3 linked regions of the Cricetulus griseus genome follow. The protein of the gene in region 3 interacts with the protein of the main gene of each other region in a biochemical or structural test. Links are inferred from orthologs where the notes say so. Each region holds a gene or a part of one and is shown on either strand. Other genes may lie near its edges. The genes, in order: Cse1l, Kpnb1 and Kpna2.

Region 1 (6,948 bases), on a different chromosome or scaffold from region 3:
CAGCTCACTGGAGATTTTTAAAGTGGGTGAAATTCAATTAAAGCAAAGAATTTGGAACTTTGAGCTGGTAATAGTTTGCAGAACAGAAGTAAAGAATGTTCAGACTGTTTTGAAAACAGGAAGGGGTAATTTGTATGAGCTAACCATACAGTGCTAGGTGAATTTATCTGCTTTACCATTTGTTTGTTTGTTTTTTGAGACAGTTTTTCTGTGTACCCTTGGCTGTCCTTAACTTGCTCTGTAGACCAGGCTGGTCTTGAACTCGGGGATCCACCTGCCTCTGCCTATCCCCAAGCACTGGCATTAAAGGCATGTGCCACCACTGTGCACCATTAATCTCAAACTACAATAAGGGAGGGAACTCGGTGGCTAATTTACATGCCCATGTTGCTATCAACTCAAATCTACCTGCCTGATTCATGATACTTTTTCTGCTCCCCAAGGCAGCCTCTAAGTGGAAATGACAAGGTTGAACTAAGAACATAACAGAAAGCCCAGTGTTAAAGAGAGCAACCTGGAAGCTGGAGAAAGGAGCTGCAGTCAAGGAGGACGACCAGACACCAATACCACCCTTTTAAAGAATGAGAGAGAGAGACAAGGTCTCACAAACTGGCCTTGAACAACTCTGTCAAGAACTGGGATTACAGGCATAATCACAATCACAGTACTACCATAGTCTGCTAAGCTTTCATCTTGATACACACTGAGAAAAAGTAAAGACAAGGACTACTCTCTAATGTGCCAACAGCCAGAAACCAAGACCCTCAAAAAAAAAAAAGAAAAGCTATGCTATCTGTATTCTTACTGCAGTCCTTTTCCCTTAGCTATAAAAGGACTTACCCCAAGGGGAGTCAATACTGAGCTTCAGAATGGGTGGCCAGACCTAACTTGGGGCACAGGTTATGACCCACAAGTTTGATACAATTTTGGGATAGCTTGTCTCCCACCCACAATGCTGGGCTTACAGGCATTCATGTTCCACATGACTATAAATGAGTGCTGAGATTTGAGTTCTAGTACTTGTGTTTGCTCTACTGACGCATTCACCAGCCCCCCAAAAAACTTGGGGTTGGGGAGATGGTTCAGCAATTAAGAGAACTTGCTGCTTGCTGTATGCTTTCTATAGCTATAAATACCATGCTCAAACTGAGCAGTGGTGGCACATGCCTTTAATCCCAGAATTTAGGAAGCAGAGGAAGATGAATCTCTGGAGCCTGTCCTGGAATTTGCTCTGTAGACCAGGCTAGTCTCAAACTCCAAGAGATCTGCCTGTCTCTGCCTCTCCCAGTGCTGGGATTTCAGCTTGCTTTCTTATACCACCCAGAACCACATGCTCAGGAGTGGTACCACCAATAGTGGGCTAGGCCTTCCTATAATAATCAGTAATCAAAAAATTAATAATAATAATAATCCCAGAGTCTTGCCTACAGGTAACCTGATGGAGACAATCCATCAACTAAGGTTCCTGCTTCCTAGATGACTCTTGCTTAGTCAAAGAACAAACGGCTATAAGAGGACCTTGACTAATTCCCAATGCCCACACTGCAACTCACAACCATTTGAAACTCCAATTCCAGGGAATGACACCCTCTTCTGGTTTCCTCAGTATCAGCCACACACATAGTACACAAAGGCAAACACTTAAACACACACAAAAAAATGATTACATCTTTTGAAAAAAATCTTGAATGAGTAACTGAAAGTCTAGCCTCTTCCTACAGTTACAAATGAAGGTTTTGGGAATAAACACTGTTTCCTATCGTCATCTCACAAACACCCAAGATAAAAATGACCCAAGATATTTGCCTTTTTCTTAGATATGTCTACTGCACTGAGATACCCATTTCTGAGGCCTTCCTTACATCTGAGGAGAGGGGAAGAAATCTAGTAAATGAAAACCTATAATACATAGTAAGAGCATAACTTAACACCTATCCTCACCTTAAAATTTTTAACAAATGTATGTGTATGTGTGTATCTCTGTATGTTTCTGCCTTTATGTATGTACACTTGACAGCAGATGCCCAAGGAAGGCAGAGGCCATCAGATCCCCTGGAGCTAGAAATATAGGCAACAGTGAGCCACCCATGGGTACTAGAAACTTACCTTGGGTCCTCTGCAAGGGCAATACATGCTTCTGATTCCTGAGCCACCTCTCCTGTCACCATAATTTTTACCATATGCATTTACTGTGTGCACGTGTGCTACAGCATGTGTGTGGAAGTCAGAAGACAATGTGCAGGAGTCAGTTCTCTCCTTCTACCATGTGGATACCAGGGAACAAATCCAGGTTGTTAGGCTAGGTAAGGATTACCTGCCCTCAATCCATCTTGCCTACCCTATCCTTAGCTTTTTTAAAAGAACAGTTATTAACTACACTTCAAGAGAACAGAAGGCTGGGCAGTAACTTGAGTGCCTACTGCCTTTCTCTGCTTCTAATCAATCACAGTAATCTACCACTCTGTATCATATCCAAACTCCGTGCACTACCTACAAAGTCCCATCTCTCTATTCTTCACACAACTGAACTGGATTTCCTAAAATATCCCAATATTCCAAGTCAGTTTCTAGACTTGAAATTGTGCATCCTACTCCCTCTGCCTGAAATGCTGTTCCCTCACTTTCCCCTGGATAGTCTCTGCTCTAATGCCACCTATTCAGAGAAAATGTCTTCACCTGTCAGCTTTCTGTCACTTGTCACTACCTGAAATAATCTAATTCATGTTCTCCCCGAAACTAGAATATAAGGTCCCCAAAGAGAAACAACAAATAAAGCAATAAATCAATTCCACAATTAGAGTACTGCTCTCACTCACCCAATCCCTGGTAGAGAATGGCTTCCCAAATCAAAGAAATCAAAGAAACCAGAGGGGGTTAAAATTGCTATGTGCAAATGGGAACAGGGTGAAAGGGAGTTGGGTGTGGTAGCCTACACTTGTAGAATGATGAATCTGAGGTCAGATCCTTCATCCAAAACTTAAAAAAAAAAAAAAGGCCTTCCATGTCTTCATGAAATAACAGGAGCATCCATCACGTGGCTTGCAAACGTGCAACCAACAAGAAAGGTTATCATCGAAGAGCTAACATCAGAGCAGATGAAAAGGACGAGAAACAAGCAGTAAGAACTACCTATAAGGTCAATGCTGTGGAGGAAAATAAAGCTGGGTGATGTGAACTGAGAAGTGAGAACTGATGCCTAAGAGGGGAACTTCAAAGGCAGAGAGGCGGGGAATTCTTAAAAAGGAGCGGGTCAGCATGGCTACAGTGCTTCTGGAGAGATGGAGTGAGGCGCACGGCAGCTCAGGTGAGACCTCTGGGAAGTACAGTCAACAATCAGTGGAACCCCAAAGCCGCTTAACCAAGTGTGCAAGTGATGAATGAATCTGAGTTTGAGGTGAGGATAAAAATGCCATTTCCGAGGGAGAGATTGCTCAACATGGGCGAGAACACGGACCCACCACCAGCATCACCTTATCAGAACATTACATTTTTTCACAGAGACGACGACCGGCTCTGAATTACACTCCTAGGGAGAGACTGTGTATGCAAGAGGCCAGATTATCCAACTAGAAAGCCAGCGCGCCCCAGGAAGGGTAACCCCGTTCGACTGTACGTTCCTCAGTTCCCAGGAGCGCGAACGACTCAGCCAGGTGAGACCCCGAGGCCCAGGTCCCCTGCGGAGGAGCCCGAGGACCCGCGAAGCCAAAGCGGTGCACGCTCCGGCCTCCTTCGGAAGCAGGGTGCGGACCGGCTCGGCCAACTCAGGCCTCGGCGCCCAACACCGCTCACGCTGCGGGCCCCGCCGGCGCGCCGAGAACGGACGCGCCGGCGCGGCCAATCAGCGGACACCTACGGAGCGAAGGGCGGCGGCGCGACCAATCAGCGCGGCGCCGGAGGGGAAGGGGCGGGAGCTGCGGGAGCCAGCGTGAGGCCGAGCCTCAAGCTGCCCTGGCTTCCCGGAGCGGTCAGGCCCGGCCCTGCGGCGGCGTGCGGGGAGGCGCCGGAGCGCGGCCGCACGCACAGGCCCGCACCCACTTCCCAGCGCTCGTCCCCTCCCCGCGGCCGCCCTGCTCACCCCATGCCTCACCTCGCGGGGACACCGAGACCGAGGAGGGAATCCCAGGCGAGAGAGAGCTGCAGCCGACGCTACCACTCCCGCCGCTGCTCCGCCTCACATTCAAACCCCGGCAAAATGGCGCGGCGGCGAGGGTGGCGGCCACGGCGCATGTGCGAGAGAGGCCGCGACAAGGGGCGGAGCCAGGGCTGCTTTTGGCCCCACCCCGGCTGCAAGGGCCAATCGGAACCCCGCTCGGTTCTGCGGTGGCGTCGCGAGAGACCACGTCCTTTGACGCAGGCTGCTGGTTTGGATTTCTTTGCTCAGACCATGGCTTGTTCTGCAAGTGGCTGTGCTATGGACTGTGCTCGTTCCCGTCAGAGAAGGGAGAGGCCGTCCATTCTAGGACAGGCAGAATAACCGAATGAGTAAGACTCCCAAGCTGAGGGATGGATAGCTCGGTTGGCTAAAGGTGGCCATGAAACTAACAAGATATGAGTTCGAATCCCCTGCAGTCAAATAAAAGTCCGCCTGGGCTGCTGACTGTAATCCCGTATCTGGGAAAGCAGGTACAGGAAGATCCCTGGGGCTGGTTGGCCAGTGTAGCTAATCGGTGAACTCCTGTTTCCATGGGAGATCCTGCCTCAAAAACTTAGGTGGGGAGGAACTGAAGAAGACGCATACGCGCGCGCGCGCACACACACACACACACACACACACACACACTGAGAATCACACACACACACACTGAGAATCACACACACACACACACACACACACACACACACACACACACACACACACACTGAGAATCACACACACACACTAAGAATCACACACACACTGAGAATCACACACACACACACACACACTGAGAATCACACACACACACTGAATCACACACACACTGAGAATCACACACACACACTGAGAATCACACACACTGAGAATCACACACACACACACACTGAGAATCACACACACACTGAGAATCACACACACACACTGAGGAAGACACACACACACACTGAGGCACACACACACACACAGACTTTAGAAGCCTAGAAGGATTTCTGAAGCTAGATTCCACAGCACATAGCACACGCTTATTACCCCCATCACTTGGCGTGTAGGAGGCGGAGGCAGGAGAATCACCATGTATTGATTCCACAGCACATAGCACACGCTTATTACCCCATCACTTGGCGTGTAGGAGGCGGAGGCAGGAGAATCACCATGTATTTGAGCCCTACATGGTCTACATAGTGAATTTGAGGCCAGTCAGAGATAGGGAGTGAAATCCTTTCTCAAAAAAAAATTTTTTTTTCAGTTGATGTAGCCAGTGGCAACTTGAAGATAACTGGGATGAACAGGGGAGGCCCCTGAATAAGAGAAAATTTACCTTTTCAAAAGCCAGGAGGCAGCTGTGTGCCTGTTGGCCTGGCAAGCATTGGGGAGAACGGTGAGGGCTTGGAAGCCAGCTCAGCTTGCTTGCTCTGTTCCTCCCAGCTCCAAGCTTACCCTACCTCACAGCACTGATACTTGCTCCTACCTCTGCCTGGATGCTCTTCTAGATCCAATAATGGTTGGCTCCCTTTGCATTTGGTCGCAGAACAATGGCAGCTCCTCAGGGATGTCTGAAATTGCCCACTCCACCTTAACTTTAACTCAACAGCACACCATTTAGCCAGTAAAAGACAGGCTGCCCAACTTGACACAAATTTCAGGGAGCAAACACTTATTTTTATAATAGATTTACAGGAGAACACTTGCCCTGCAAAAGCATGCATTGTTTATGTAAGGTTCCCATTGAACTGGGAATTCTGTATCTTTTTTGGTTTTGTTTTTTTGAGTCAGGGTTTCTCTGTGTAGCACTGGCTGTCCTAGCACTCACTCTGGAGACCAGGCTGGCCTCAAACTCACAGAGCTCTGCCTGCCTGCCTGCCGGAGTGCTGGGATTGAAGGTGTGTGCCAGCTGGGCATTCTGTATCTTATCTAGCAGGCTTGATTTCATTATATCATTCTGAGTTAAAATATTTTTAAACATTTATTTATGTAGGGGGAGGGGTAAAAGGGTGCCATGGTGCATGTGTAAAGGTCAGAGTACAACTTCTCCCCAGAGAGTCACTTCTCCCCAGCTTGTGGGTTCCAAGGATTGAACTCAGGCCCTCAGTCTTGGCAGCAGTGCCGTTACCCCCAGAACCAGCGTTCATTATGCTTTCTGTCTGGCATTTATAAGTCTCTGCAATTATCACCCATCAGCCCAAGGACTCTTAATGAAAGAGCTTAGGGCTTACTGTTCTTTATAGCTGTGACCCCAGTACTTAGCACACCCTAGATGCTCAATCAAGATGTGTTGGGTATTTTTTTTTAAGGTTTGTTTTTAATTTTCTGTGCACCACATGTATGCAGCTCCCAAGGAGGCCAGAAGAGGGCTTTGTTCCCCTGGAACTGAGATTAAGGATGGTTGTAAGCTACCATGTGGAAGCTGGGAACTGAACCTGGATCCTCTGGAAGAGCAGCGGGCATTTTTAACCGCTGAGTCACCTCTCCAGCCCTCATGTGTTGGGTATTCACATAGGAGTAGGTGAAATGTCATGTGTAAATACAATGCGTTTACTGTTGGGGCATGAGATTGAACTTGACACCTCATTTATACAAGGCAAGCACTCTACCATTGAGATATAACACCAGCCCATAAGGGAGTATCTTCTTTTAAAGATGTATTTATTTATTTATTTTGTATAGAGAGTTCTGTCTGCATACATTCGAGCAAGCCAGAAGAGGGTGCCAGTTTTCATTACAGATGGTTGTGAGCCGCCATGTGTTTGCTGAGAATTACTCTTTTGAGACCTCTGGAAGAACAGCCAGTGAGTGCTCTTAACCTCTGAGCC
Region 2 (6,931 bases), about 9.6 Mb from region 3:
AAGGTAAGGTAAAAGAAAGTAAAGAGTTCATAGTTCTCTTTTACTATATTGTAAATTCATGGCCAGCTGGACTACCTAACACCCCCCCCACACACACACACACAAAATCAGAGTGCAGTGTGGTAAAACATAATACCAGCTTTTCAGAAGTAAAAACAGGACAGTCAGATATTTGATGCTAGCCTGGACTACATAAGACTGAATGGAAAGAATTCCCAGCTTTACTCTAGAGATCCCAAATACATAAAATACTTCATTCTCTTATGTGAACAAATGAGAGAACCTGAGGCTTTATAGATTCTAGAAGCCTCTATCACTGAGCTAAACTCTGACACAGAGACACACATAACATTAGTGAAATTTCGGTCGGGCGTTGTTGGCGCATGCCTTTAATCCCAGCACTCGGGAGGCAGAGGCAGGAGGATCTCTGTAAGTTCAAGGCCAGCCTGGTCTCCAGAGTGAGTGCCAAGGATAGCCTCCAAAGCTACAGAGAAACCCTGTCTCGAAAAACCAAAAAAAAAAAAAAAAAAAAAAAAAAAAGGTGAAATTTCTTAGGTGGTGATGATATATATAGCACCAAAACTTGCATTTCCCCAATTCTAACCAGAGATCCCAAACTGCTGGTTCAGTCAGCAGAACCCAACCAATCGCCAAACACCTTTTGCCACATTGAGAGATTTTTAATGAAACAGAATTTCTACCTTCAGGTAAAGTTTAGGTCTCAGAAACACTATCAAGTTCTTTTTTTGCTTTTAAGAGCTTATTTATTATGTATACTGTTGTTCTGGCATGCCTACATGCCAGAAGAGGGCACCAGAACTTATTATAGATGGTTGTGAACCACCATGTGCTTGCTGGGAATTGAACTCAGAACTTCTGGAAGAGCAGCCAATGCTCTTAAAACTCTGAGCCTCTCCAGCCCCTTCATTGTCAAGTTCTATGCCATGCAAATGACCAAGCCCTTACAACACTGTTCCTTAGGCCATATGACAGTCACTTACATAGTTCTTGACTTCCCGTCGAGCATTAGCATCAATAGCAAGCCACCTCTGCTGGTACTGTGCCTTGATATCTGGATCTTTTGATGTCAAAGAGTTCTTGATTTGTAGACCAGCTGCAACTCTGGCAACCTGACTGTTTCCTGGATTTGCCAGCACTCTGGACAGTTCCACAAGGAACGTGGGCTATTGAGAAAAGATGAATTTGTGAGCATCTCAGAAATTCCAACTTCCTTGTAGAACATTCAAATACTGAGACACACACAAAAGAAATTTAGATCACATTCAAATCTCTCAGGAGCCTGTGAAATATCTATTTGAAGTGGTACCTGCCTAGACTCAACACTCAAGAGGTTTCCTTGGGTTCAGCAATCTTAAAGCCAAACAAATGAGGCAATTTAACAGGATCCAACTTCAAAGTAAGTTCTATAAAAACATTACTTACTATACAAAGAGATGGTGTCTTCCTACCAAGATCATCCCTTGTGCACAAATGTTCAGACAGCTCCCCAGAATTAAAGAAAAGTGACAACCTAACACTGGGTTATCCTAGGTTCAAGGTTCCCAATGCACCTATATATACTACTGCAAATTTGCTGATACAGGATGAGGGAGAAAATTGGTGTATAATTTAAAATTAAAATCTAGTCCAAAATAGTAACACTCAGTGCAGCTTTCTGATCTTACACAAGTGAACGTTTGTAACAGAAATATATGTTAAGTCTACAACAGATGAAAGTACCTAGTCCTTGCAGCCTAGTTCTGAGTGTCCAACAACAGGGATTTAAGTGGTAAGTGATAACTAATATTCAGAAATGGGAAAAAATGAAGATAAAAATGACAAGACAAAGCCAGGCAGCAGTGGCGAACACCTTTAATCCCAGCACTTGGAGGGCAGAGACGGTGGATCTCTGTGAGTTCAAAGCCAGCCTGATCTACAGAGTGAATTCCAAGACAGGCTCCAAAACTACAGAAAAACACTGTCTTGAAAAACCAAATGACATGGCAAGATAAGTTGTCTCAAGAAAAATCATTTTCTGTACCAATAGCCCTCTCAAGTTTTGAAAATATCCACTCTTTAAAATACAAGTCCAAAAATCACCTCTGTGTGTGTGTGTGTGTGTGTGTGTGTGTGTGAGTGTGTGTGTGTGTGTGTGTGTGTGTGTGTGTGTGTGTGTGTGTGTGTGTGTGTGTGTGTGTGTGTGTGTGTGTGTGTGTGTGTGTGTGTGTGTGTGCTCGCGCGCTCGTGTGTATGAACCTGCCCAAACAGAAAGTTAAAGTGGCAAAAGTAGACATATTTCCTTACTATTAGCTAACTCTTAAAAATACAGGAGGTAATTCCCAAAGGTTTACTATATGGCACTAAACAGTGATAGGAGCAAGGTAAAGGATTTTTTTTTGCAAATAAACAAAATATACCATGAGTGGAATTCTCATTCTACACTAACAAGGAAATGCTTAAAAGGGGGTGCACTAAAAGATGAAAGGTTAATAAAAAGTCCCTTACCTAAGTACTGAAAAGGCGGTTTGCACAAATGTGTTCTGTCCCTATGGATGTTACTATTTTACCAAGCCATCACAAAGGACTACATTTGGTTACAGTGTTCTTTCAACTTACTACCTTTTAGAGACTTTCAGTACCATCCACCCTTCCCTGTTACCAACCCCTGAGAGGAGAGAGGGCTACCAAAGAGAAACATTCTGGCACGAGACTACTTCAATCATCTCTCATTTTCCTACACACAGGTCAGGTTGCTTTTTTTTTCTTTTTAAATGTACCTCTTAAATGAGAAAATATGAAAAACGGGGTAACTGTGATTTCTTCAGGGAATAAAGCCCAATCTCAGGAATGAGGCTCAGACTCTGGGCAGGATACAGATCCCTAAGGATGAGGTCCCTAATGATCCAAGCCCAAACATAACATACACGCACGCTTAGCTCAGGAGAGGGATAACAGGGCCCGAAAGGGAAAAAAATAGTGGCAATGGGTTCAGAGGTGGTCGGCTGCCAGGCGTGGCCCTGAGCAGACCATGGGAGCTGCGAAAGGGTAGGGCTCTGGAAAGTAGGTGCAGACAGCCACAAGAGGCATGGGGTTGGAAGGAAAAGCCGGCACCCGCCAGTAGAAGGCAGGCAGCAGGGCGCTGAGCTTCCACATGGCCCCTAGGCCCGGCTCCCCAACCCCCACCCTTGCTGAACACGCAGCGCCATGCAACCTAACTTCCCTTCCCTCCCTCTTTCTCCCTCCCGCTGCACCGCCGCCCTCAGGCCGCGAGGCGATTGGACAGCGATCACCCCGGCTCGCCTCGCCATTGGCCAGACGCAGGGCCCGGGGCGGGACACACCCACCGGCTTCCCGATGGCGGGGTTAGGTTGGACCGGGCGGGCGGGCGGAGGGGGGGGAAGGGGGACGAGATGGGGCGGGGTGGGTTCCTGAGGCCTGGGCCTCCAGGAGGGCGGAAGGCCCGCACGCAGGGATGGGGACGCGGCGGGATGGGGCGCGGCGGGGCAGCACGCACCAGGTTCTCTACAGCCGCACGCTCCAGGAACTTCTGCGCCGCTTCCAGCTCCAGCCGATCTGGGGAGGAATGGGGAGAGGCAGCGGGGTCAGAGGGGCCACCCCCTCCCCCACCCCAGTCACCTCAGCCCGACCCCCGGCCCCGAGTCCTACCCGGAGACACGGTCTTCTCGAGGATGGTGATCAGCTCCATGGCGGAGGTGACGGCGGCGGGGACTCTTCCAAAGACGACGGCCCGGCCTCTCGGGCGGCGGCTCCAACTGGGGATGGGGGTTGGGGGTCGGGTGGGAAGGGAGGGTGGGGTGGGGGGCGGGGGTCACCACAAGCCCATTCACCGGCTGCCTCTGGGCAGGCGCTCTGTCTCCCCTTCCTCCCCACTCTCCTTCCTTCCGCCCTCCTAATGTGTTAGGCGGCGGCAGCTGCTCCTCTGGCGGCGGGGGAGGGACCCCGGGGGCAGCTCAGAGCGCGGCTGGTGCTCAGGCGGCGGAGGGAGAAAGAAGGAAGGGCGGCAGTAAGTGAGAGGCGGATCTCTGGGAGGGAGAGAGATTGAGGGAGGGAGGCGGAGGGATATTCTTGCCGGACCTCTCCGCGGCGGCACCGCGCTGCACAACGATTGGCTGCTGCCGCGGCTACGCGGACTCCCCGATTGGCTAGAAGGTTAGCGTTGAAGGGCCGCCGCGCGCCTATTCGCTCGCGGGCTTCAAGGCCCGGTTGGCTGGGCGGGCAGCCGAATGGGGCGCGCTCATTGGGCGAGGGGAGGGACGTCGGGGTGGGGCAGGTAAGTGCGGGCTTCTGATTGGGCGGTCCCGGTAGAGGCCTTCGGGCTCACACCGGCTGTGCGCGGGGAGGAGGCGGGCGGAAGGTAAGACTCGCAGCGCGCCCGATTGGCTGGGATACTGGACGTTGATAGGACGGGGCGCCGGGAGACCTGGGGCGAGGAGTTCGGGGTCGCCGGGCGTAAAGGCGGGAGTCGCCCCGTGCTGCTGAGAGTCTAGCGCGGGGCACGACGGGACGCCTCCGGGGCGGGGCGGAGGCGCGCGCGAGCCGCTCCAAGTGGTCTCCTCGTAGTGCGGTCCCCGGCGGCGGGGCCATAAAAGTGAGGGTTGCGAGGGTGCGGGGAGGGGGACCGTTAAAGCCCTGTGCCGCGCCCACAGGAAGCCGCCGTAAATGGCGAGGTCTGCTCTCTGCCGGGCTCTGCGCTGAGCAGCACCGTGAGGGCCACGTGGTTCACCTTCCAACGTGCGGATTCGGAAACTGAAGCCCAGAGAGAGCGTGGAGCGTGTCCAAGGTCACACAGCCGATTAAAGACTCCATCGGGGCTGGGTTCAGGCGTGCTTAATTGCCCTTGGAGTCCCTGTCTGGACCTCTGCGGTTACAAAGTTTCGCGGAGGTGCGTCCTTAGACTTAACAGCTACCTCAAACAACCGGTGATGGAGCTTACACCGAAAGGATGTGACATAGAGCATGTGCACTGACTAGGCGTGGCAGCACCTACAGTCTCAGTATCCCGAAGGCCAAGGCAGCCTGGGCTACCGCCTGAGATCCTGTTTCAAACAAAACTCTGGTGCACCTAGTTGTTTTACACTCCCCCTCCCTTCCCCTCCCCACTTGGGGAGCCTGAGCCGCAAGCCAGGGGTTCAGGAGCCGCAGATAGGCCCAGGAAGAAATTGCTGTGCGCTAGCCACATTGGGAAACCCACGAATATTTTCTGGAAGGATAGACCGACTTGGCCAGCCAACCTGTAATTTCTTTGTTGTATTTTTCAATTTGTTTTTTGACAGCTTTATATATGTTTAATAATATGTTCTGATTACATTCACCTTAACTTTGATTTTAAGGTTTTATTTATTTATTTGTGGTCAGCATGCAAGTGTGGGTTTTAGTTTCTTGTTTCCTAAAGATGTCTTGGCCTGGAAATCACTAGGTTGGACCAGGCTGGTCTTGAGCTCAGACCTACCTGCTTTTGCCTTCTAAATGCTAGAATTAGCCAGGCGATGGTGGCCCACGCCTTTAATCCCAGAATTTGGGTGGCAGAGTTGCGCAAGCATGTCTGATTTTGAGGCTAGCCTGGTTTACAGAGTGATTTCCAGGACAGCTAGGACTACAGATAGACAAATTCTTGTCTTGAAAAACCAAATAAATAAGTGATAAAAGAAACTGCTAGGATTAAAGGCATATATCACCAAGCCAGGAAATTAGTTTATTGTAATGTTTTCATTGAAAACATTATCAAAAAAAATTATTTGTTGGTAGTGGATTTATTTGGTTTGGTTTTTTGGAGTCTTTTGTTGTTGTTGTGTGGGCTTTTGTCTTTCCTTGAGATGGGGTTCCTTTCTGTATCTGGTCTAAGATTCACAAGCTGGCTTCAGGTTTTCCATAATCTGCCTTCCTCAGATCCCTGAATGCTGGGATGCTCTTCACTGTGCAAGCGTATGGACACACCTACACATGGAAACACACACACGCTGATCCTGTGCCTCCATAACTGATTCTTAAGGCAAAAGTGAGTCATTATACAATATAGAAACTCAAGAAACTTAGTTTTGCAAGAAGTGTAGGTCCATCATTCCTCATGCTTTTTTTTTTTTTTCAAGACAGAGTTTCTCTGTGTAATAGGCCTGGCTGTCCTGAAACTTGCATTTTAGACCAGGCTGGCCTGGTCACTGATATCCACCTGCCTCTGCCCCCGACTACTGGCATTAAAGGCCTAAAGGTGTGCACAACCACCGCCAGGCCCTTAATACCATCTTTTAACTAGTTCATTTCCTCTGGCTTACCAGTTCCCTAGCCCAAACCTTTTGCTCTGTCAACTAGAAGGGCTGCTTTGCGAGTATGACGGGAGAGGGTTTGCTTAGTTCATTAGTTTCCCCATTAGCTTTTCAGTGCACAGGGCTGAGTGGATACAATAACAGTCTAACCTGGTACTGGCGGCCTAGAGGATTCCTGGATAGCCGCTCATCTCCAATCCATGTTGGAAGGCCAAAGAATCTGGTTTTAGTGGAAGATGACAGCAGCAGCCACCTGCTAGATACACTGCTCTGCAGAGTGTGAAGGCTGGCAGGAAAAACCCTCTTGGCTACCACTGAAAAGCCTGTTCACTCTAGGGGAGACTCCCCCATCATCATTTAACCCACCCAGGAAATACCCTCACAAACCTGTCCAGTGGTTGAGTCTCTCCATTGACCAATCATTTTGGCAACCAGGATTAACCATTGCACTACCATGAACAGGGCCCAGGGTTTGCTCCCCAGTTTTGCATAAGCTGGATATAGTGTTCTATGCCTGTGATCTCAGTACTTGGAGAGGTAAGCCCAGAAGGATCAGAAGTTCAGGGTCATCTTTGGCCACATACCTAACCTGGGCTACATGAGACCCTGTCTCAAAGAAATAGGGACAGCAGAGATGGTTAAGAGTACTG
Region 3 (7,094 bases):
TTTCTTGGGAAAGAAAGCTCAGTTTCACAATGCAGGTAACAGGCATTGGATCACTAACTGCAAACTTCTGAGGGGCACCATCAGCTTTGAGAAGTAGTGCAGGATGTGGATCAGAACTCTCAACATTTCTCTCCAAGTTCCTTATTCAGAGTTTAAGACTCAGAAGTTGTTCCTACCTCCAACTACTAAACAAAGGACATAGGCGCCCCAAAAGGGTGCATTTAGGTCGTGTGCCTGCCCCTGAACCATTCACAGCAGCCAAGAAAATGCCTGGCGGTGATTGGTTGAGAATGGATTCCTTCCACATTCTTGCATTTAGCAGGTCAGATTGGGAGCAACAAACTGCCTGTGAACTTCTCGGCTATGCTAGAGAGAAACTGGCATGGATGCCTTCGAGAATAGACAGAGTGTACTGCTTGCATTTATTTGTACAAAATAAGCCACTACAATTTTCCTAAAATACTCCTTTAAAGCACCCAGAAAAATTTCAAGAAGAACACAAAAAATGGCTCACAATCCTGATGCTTTTAAATATCTTTCATGTTTGAAAATAATTAGACCACAAAAAATGAATACAGATTGATGATAGCATGGAAATTGAATTTTTCCTGAAATTGAGGGTTTCCAGTGTGGTTATATAAAACAATCTCTCTTTTAAGAAAAAAAAATTGTTTTTATTTACTTTTATTTATTGGTGTTTTGCTTGCATGTATGTCTGTGTGAGGGTGTTGGATCCCCTGGAATTGGAGAACTGGAATTATAGACAGTTGTGAGCTGCCATCTGGGTGCTGGAAATTGATCCTGGGTCCTCTGAAAGAGCAGGCAATGCTCTTATCTCTGAGCCATCTCTTTTCTGCCCCCATCCGAATCCCTGAAAAGTATTTCTCTTTGTAGTCCTGGCTATCCTGGAACTCACTATGTAGATCAAGCTGGTCTCGAACTCACAGAGATCCACCTGCCTCTGCCTTCTGAGTGCTGGGATTAAAGGCGGTGTACACTTGTATTATTGAAGTTTTGCCTGGTGGTGGTTTCACACACCTTTGGGGGAATCTTTGTGAGTTGGAGGCCAGTGTGGTCTACAAAGTGAGTTCCAGGGCAGCCAGGGTTACACAGAGAAACCTCGTCTAAAATAAATAAATAGAGAAACCCTGTCTCAACCCCCCCCCAAAATAATATAAAATAAATAAATAAAATTCCAAAACAACAAACCAAACAGAATTAATGAAGTTTTAAAGAAAGTGTAAGGTGAAAATAGGCACTTAATAAGCCATTTGTTACCATATTTGCTGCTTTGTCTTTTTATTTCCCAAGTAATCTGAACATTTGACATACAACTAGATAAAGTGGAACATCTCTGTAATCCCAGAATTGGTGCTGAGGTAAGATTGCAACAGGTTCAAGGCTAGCCCCGGCTCTATTGTTGAGACCCTGTCTCACTCCTAGTCCCCGTAATAAAAATTAAATAATCGCTGGGCATTGGTGGCACACGCCTTTAATCCCAGCACTCGGGAGGAAGAGACAGGTGGATCTCTGTGAGTTTGAGGTCAGACTGCTCTACAGGCAGATCTCTGTGAGTTCAAAGCCAGCCTGGTCTACAAGAGCAAGTTACAGGACAGACTCCAAAGCCACAGAGAAACCGTGTCTCGAAAAACCAAAATAAATAAACAAATAAATAAATAATCAATAAACAGTAAAAACAACAACATAATAATAGGGGGCTAGAGAGATTGCTCAGAGGTTAAGAGCACCAACTACTCTTCCAGAGGTCCTGAGTTCAATTCCCAGCAACCATATGGTGGCTCACAACCATCCATTATGAGATCTGGTGCCCTCTTCTTGTGTGCAGGATCATATGCAGACATAAAGCTGTATACATAATAATAAATCTTAAAAAAACAACATAATAATTAATACACTACACACAATGATTATTAAAAGAGCCACACAGATCTGCTTCACTCCTTTCTCCCAGTGACCAGCCCCTGCTAAACCTCTGGTGTTTCGATGAGGAAAAAAAATGAAAATCAATGTATTTATGTTAAGCATTTGTTATTATTTTGGTGGGTCCTTTTTCAGACGGGGTCTCACCATGTAACCCTGGCTGGCCTCACTATGTAGACAAGCTCGCCTTGAACTCACAGCAATCCTCCTGCCTCTGCCTACGCCAATTACGCCAGGCTAAACTTTTATTTTTTAAGATAACGCGTCTAATAATAATTCCGTGTATTTGCTTAAGGGCAGGCCCCAGAGAGAGCAAACAGGGCTCTGCCCAGCGTCCCGCCTAGGCAGAGACGACACACACCCTTCAGCGTCGCGCGCCGAGCTCCGGGATCACCACTCTTGCAAGGCACTCTGGGATTGTCCGGCCGCTCCCTCATCTCGCGATGCTACCCTCCCCTCCACCCCACCCCCACCTCCTCCCTCCCCCAGGCCCGGCGTCCGTGCCCCCCCCAACGTGTTTTTCAAATCCGCCAATGAACGCACAGCTTAGGCTCAAACCAGCCAATCGGGATGCGGCGTCACCGGGAAATTTAAATCGCGCCGGCCGGCAGCACGAGGCACAAAGTCTGAGGGCTGAGGCGCAGTGGACGTTTCGAGGGCCGCCGACCCCGCAGGCTGAGAGCCCCGCACCGCCTTTCGTGGACGCCTGAGCCGGCTGAGCAGGTGGGAGCCGCGGCCGGGCCTGGACGGTAACGGCCGGCCGGAACGCGGAGCGGGCGGGAAGGCGGGAGCAGGCCGCGCCGGGCGTGTGCTGGGCCTCCGTGCCCAGACGAGGCCGCGGGGCGGGGTGGTTCCGCCGTGCCGGTGCCGGTGCCAGGCCTGGCCGCACCGGTCGCTGCGGAGGGCGGCGCAGGCCCCGCGAGGGGCGGCGTCGGGGACACCGGCCGCAGACGAGCGCACCCGGCTGCCTCTCCGCCGCTTTCCCGCCGCTTCTGCCCGGGGAGGGTCGGGGCTGTGGGCTGGAGCGGAGGCGGAGGCGGAGTGGTGGCAGTTAGGACTCCCCCGTGAGACGCTTGAGCCGGGCCGCCGGCGCCAGCCTCGGGGAGGAAGTTCCCGAGGTTTTCGCCTCGGTAGCAGATTGTCACATTGTGGCGATCACGCCTGCGATAGAAAGTCGAGCCCCAGACAGTGTCCACGGCTGGTGTCACTCGAATTGAATGCACAGACCGGAAAGCCTGTCCTGTCCAGGGCGTGCGGGACGCTGAAGACGCGGTGCCAATGTCACTGCTGACAGCGAGGGTTGTGGAAGGCTCTGTAACGCAACCAGCCAAGTCGCTGTGTAACCTGATGGAAGGTGCCTGATGTATGTGTATGCATTCGGGCCATGAATCAACAGAAAAAGACCAGAAGTGCCTTTATTGCCTTAAGGAGGTAGATTGTTAACTAAAAACCAGGCGGGGTGCCCCTAGTCGGTGTCCAGAATGTGGAGCCCCGGCTTAATACCGCGCTGGCCAGAGGCTTTAGGTCATTGAGTTTGTGAAAAGCCGATAATCTGAGTTGAGATGCTCTGCGTGCATAAACTACACATAGGATTCTGAAGGTGTATTAAAACGGTGAAACATGTTTATTTTTCTATGTTAATTTCATTTGTTGCTTTTTAGCCTTTTAAAAATGTGGTTAGTGGAAAATTTAAATGTTTGATTAAAAACCTGTTTCTGATTGACAGCTGCGTTGCCAGAAGTTTAATCCCTTTGCAGGAGGAGCACTTAACCACTGGACTTAATGCTGTAGCCATAAAACTGAAAGCTTGTGGGTTTTTCTTGTCTAGCATACAGATGGAGTCAATATATAGTTGATTTTTATTTTATTTATTTATTTGGTTTTTCGAGACAGGGTTTCTCTGTAGCTTTGCAGCCTATCTTGGCACTTGCTCTGGAGACCAGGCTGGCCTGGAACTCACAGAGATCGGCCTGTCTCTGCCGAGTGCTGGGATTAAAGGCGAGTGCTGGGATTAAAGGCGTGCGCCACCCACGCTCGGCTTTGATTTTTATATTCTAGTTGGCCTTAAACTCAAGAGACCCGCCTTCCTCTGCCTCCCTGGTGCTATGATTAAAGGCGAATGTTAGTATGCCCCGCCTGGCTTCTGCTGTATTCTTATTTAAAAAGTGCTCTTTTTTTTCTCACCCTCCCTTGTCTACTAGCTTTCTCCCGGATTCCTGTAACCATGTCCACCAACGAGAATGCTAATTCACCAGCTGCCCGGCTTAACAGATTCAAGAACAAGGGGAAAGACAGTACAGTGAGTACCTTCTGTCGACACTTTTAAATGGAAATAAGAAGGGGTGTTTATATAACACATTTTAGGGATTGAATCCAGTGCCTTACTGATGTTAGATGGGTTCTTTATTCCTGAGTTTTATCTCTAGTCTTATTTATTGTGTGTCTGTGCATACCTGGTGCAAATGCAGAGGTGAGAATGACAGCTTGCAGGCAATGGTTCCCTCCTCCGCCTGACTCTGCAGGATTGAAGTCCTGAGACTTGGTGGCAGGTGCCTTTTAGACAATGAGCCATCTCTTGCTGACCTTTGAGGGGTTTAAAGAAATGACTTGTCAGGAAAAGCTTATAGATAAAATGAGGTGTTGTGTTGTCTTTTCCTCAGGAAATGCGGCGCCGCCGAATAGAAGTTAATGTGGAACTGAGGAAAGCGAAGAAAGATGACCAGATGCTGAAAAGGAGAAATGTCAGCTCATTTCCCGACGATGCTACTTCTCCTTTGCAGGAAAACCGAAACAATCAGGTACATACCTAGACAGTGCTCTCCCTCCCTGTATAACTGCTGTGGCTGTCCTGGAACTCTGCAGAGATCTGCCTGCCTTTGCTTCCTGATTGCTGGGATTAGAGGCTTGTGCTCCCCCCAAAAAAGAATAAATGTCTCTTAGAAATTAGAATTTTTTTTTTGAGGGGGATTGGTTTCTAGACAAAATTTCTTTGTGTGGCCTTGGCTTTGTCAACCAGGCTGGCCTTGGACTCAGATCCACCAGCCTTTTTGCCTTAGGAGTACTGGGATAAAAGGCATGAGCCACCACTGCTGGCTAAATGTAAAAATTCTTGGACATGCCTGGTAATCTACTTTTGACTGTTGAATGTATGACAATTCTTTGTTTTTTTTAAGATTTTTAGTTTTTTAAGAAGTGTATTTGTGTTTGTGTCTGAGTATGTGCAGGAGGCCAGAGAGGTTATGTCCCCTAAACTGGAGTTACAGGCAGGTATAAGCCACCTAATAATGTGGGTGCTGTGGATTGCATTTGGTCCCCTGCAGGATCAATGCATAGCCCCTGGGGAAAAAGATCCGCCCCCATGTTCCCCACAGGGTTTCTGTGTAGCCTTGGCTGTGGCTGTCCTAGAACTCACTCTGTAGACCAGGCTGCCTCTGCCTCCAGAGTGCTAGGGTTAAAGGCGTGCACTACCCTAGTGATGACCTGCCAGGAGTAAGGCAATGTTGGGCACTTACTAGCTTTTTGGTTTTTCAGGATAGGGTCTTTGTGTGGCTTTGGATCCTCTCCTGGCACTCACTCTGTAGAGCAGGTTGGCCTCGAACTCACAGAGATCTGCCTGCCTCTGCTTCCCAAGTGCTGGGACTAAAGGAGCGTGCCACCACTGCCCAGCCAGTATTTTTTCCTTTCTTTTTAACATTTGATCTCTTTTACTATTCTATGTCTTAGATGTTTCTGCTTATTTTAATTTTAATCTCAAAGTAAAAAGGTAATTGTTTTTTAATTAATATATTGTTGGGTCTGAGACATCCTTTTCTTCCAAACTTGTTTTCTGAGACAGGATCTCATTATGTAGCTCTGGCTGTCCTAGAACTCATGTAGGCCAGACTGGCCTCAAATTCACAGAGATCTGCCTGCCTTTACCTCCTGATTGCTGGGGTTAAAAAGCATGGGCCTCTATGCATGGCTGCAAACTTATTTGTTATTTTGTGAATGTTTATACATGTATAAAATGAATAGTAGTCCTTTTCACGCTGTTTCCTGGTCTCATCCCATCTTATGAAACCCCTTTTCTCAACAAGTCTTCCTTGTTTTTCCTGTCTGTTTTATATACTGGAGGAACTTTGTCAGTGGCTATACCCCTGAAGGAAGTTCACCCCTTTCCCCAGCTGTCATTAACTGTCAGTAGTCCCCCAAGAAGGGGTGGGACTTTGAGTCCTTCCCCTTCCACGATGAAGAAATAAAATGGCCTAATCTTCTAAAGTTATTTCAAATTGTAATGAGTGTTAGTGTTTTAGTTAGGTTTCTCTGTTGCTGTGATAAAACACTGCCAAAAACAACTTGGGTGGGGGAAGGGTATACTTGGCTTACAGGTTATAGTCCATTAACCAAAGAAGTAAATGCGAATGCAAGAGCATTGCTTATTGGCTTAGTCTCAGGCTTGCTCTGTGTTTTGTTTTATTTTGTTTTGAGACAGTCTTACTGTATTCCTGGCTGGCCTGGAACTCACTGTGTAGACCAGGGTAGCCTGCCAGTGCTTGGCTCAAAGGCATGTGCCACCACCACACCTGAATCTTAGGTACCTGGCATACCTGCCCAGTATGGCACCACCCATAATGGATTAGAAATCAAAAAAATGTCCCATACTAACCTGGTAGAGACAGTTTCTTAATTGTTGTCAGACCCAGTACAGTTGCTGTGTAATGTCTGGAAAACAGATTGATAACATTCCTCCCCAACCACTGGATTTTAGCTTTCTTTCCTTTTCCTCAATGTTCCCTGAGACTTGAGGGTGTATATGTGTGTGATAACAGATGTTTCTTTTACACTTTGCCCATCTGTGGGTCTTTGTATTAACCACCAAGCTTCTGTGAGCCAGGCTGAGAGCTGCACTATTCTATGGTTAGGAAGAGGAGTTGGTATTCCCCTAGCGCTTATGACCTCTCAGCAGGGACTCATGGCCTGGTGTGTAGGAACAAGCATGAGATTCCCCACTGTGGAACAGGTTTAAATACAACCAGAAAGCGGTTGGTTACATTGATGTCACTATTGAATCAGTAGATATACCATGCCAGGCAGCATTTAGAGGGGTTATAATAACTGGGTAAGATAGTTGACTTTTCCCACCTTCTAACACTATGAAAGTTAGCCAGCAATGT

Evidence for each region.
Region 1: the proteins of Kpna2 (region 3) and Cse1l form a complex in vitro, tested with the Homo sapiens proteins (2 studies listed by BioGRID). The link is inferred for Cricetulus griseus from reciprocal best matches to the Homo sapiens genes KPNA2 and CSE1L.
Region 2: the proteins of Kpna2 (region 3) and Kpnb1 form a complex in vitro, tested with the Homo sapiens proteins (6 studies listed by BioGRID and IntAct, with this or other methods). The link is inferred for Cricetulus griseus from reciprocal best matches to the Homo sapiens genes KPNA2 and KPNB1.

What each region holds. Positions count from the first base shown.
Region 1 is NC_048599.1:12,530,229-12,537,176, forward strand, and holds the start of Cse1l (exportin-2), read right to left. Parts: upstream 4,224-6,948; 5' UTR 4,088-4,223; intron 1-4,087. UniProt on the Homo sapiens protein: Export receptor for importin-alpha. Mediates importin-alpha re-export from the nucleus to the cytoplasm after import substrates (cargos) have been released into the nucleoplasm.
Region 2 is NC_048600.1:110,334,769-110,341,699, forward strand, and holds the start of Kpnb1 (importin subunit beta-1), read right to left. Parts: upstream 3,993-6,931; 5' UTR 3,707-3,992; coding exon 3,667-3,706; intron 3,574-3,666; coding exon 3,515-3,573; intron 1,185-3,514; coding exon 1,002-1,184; intron 1-1,001.
Region 3 is NC_048600.1:119,946,563-119,953,656, reverse strand, and holds the start of Kpna2 (importin subunit alpha-1), read left to right. Parts: upstream 1-2,524; 5' UTR 2,525-2,664; intron 2,665-4,142; 5' UTR 4,143-4,165; coding exon 4,166-4,240; intron 4,241-4,601; coding exon 4,602-4,739; intron 4,740-7,094.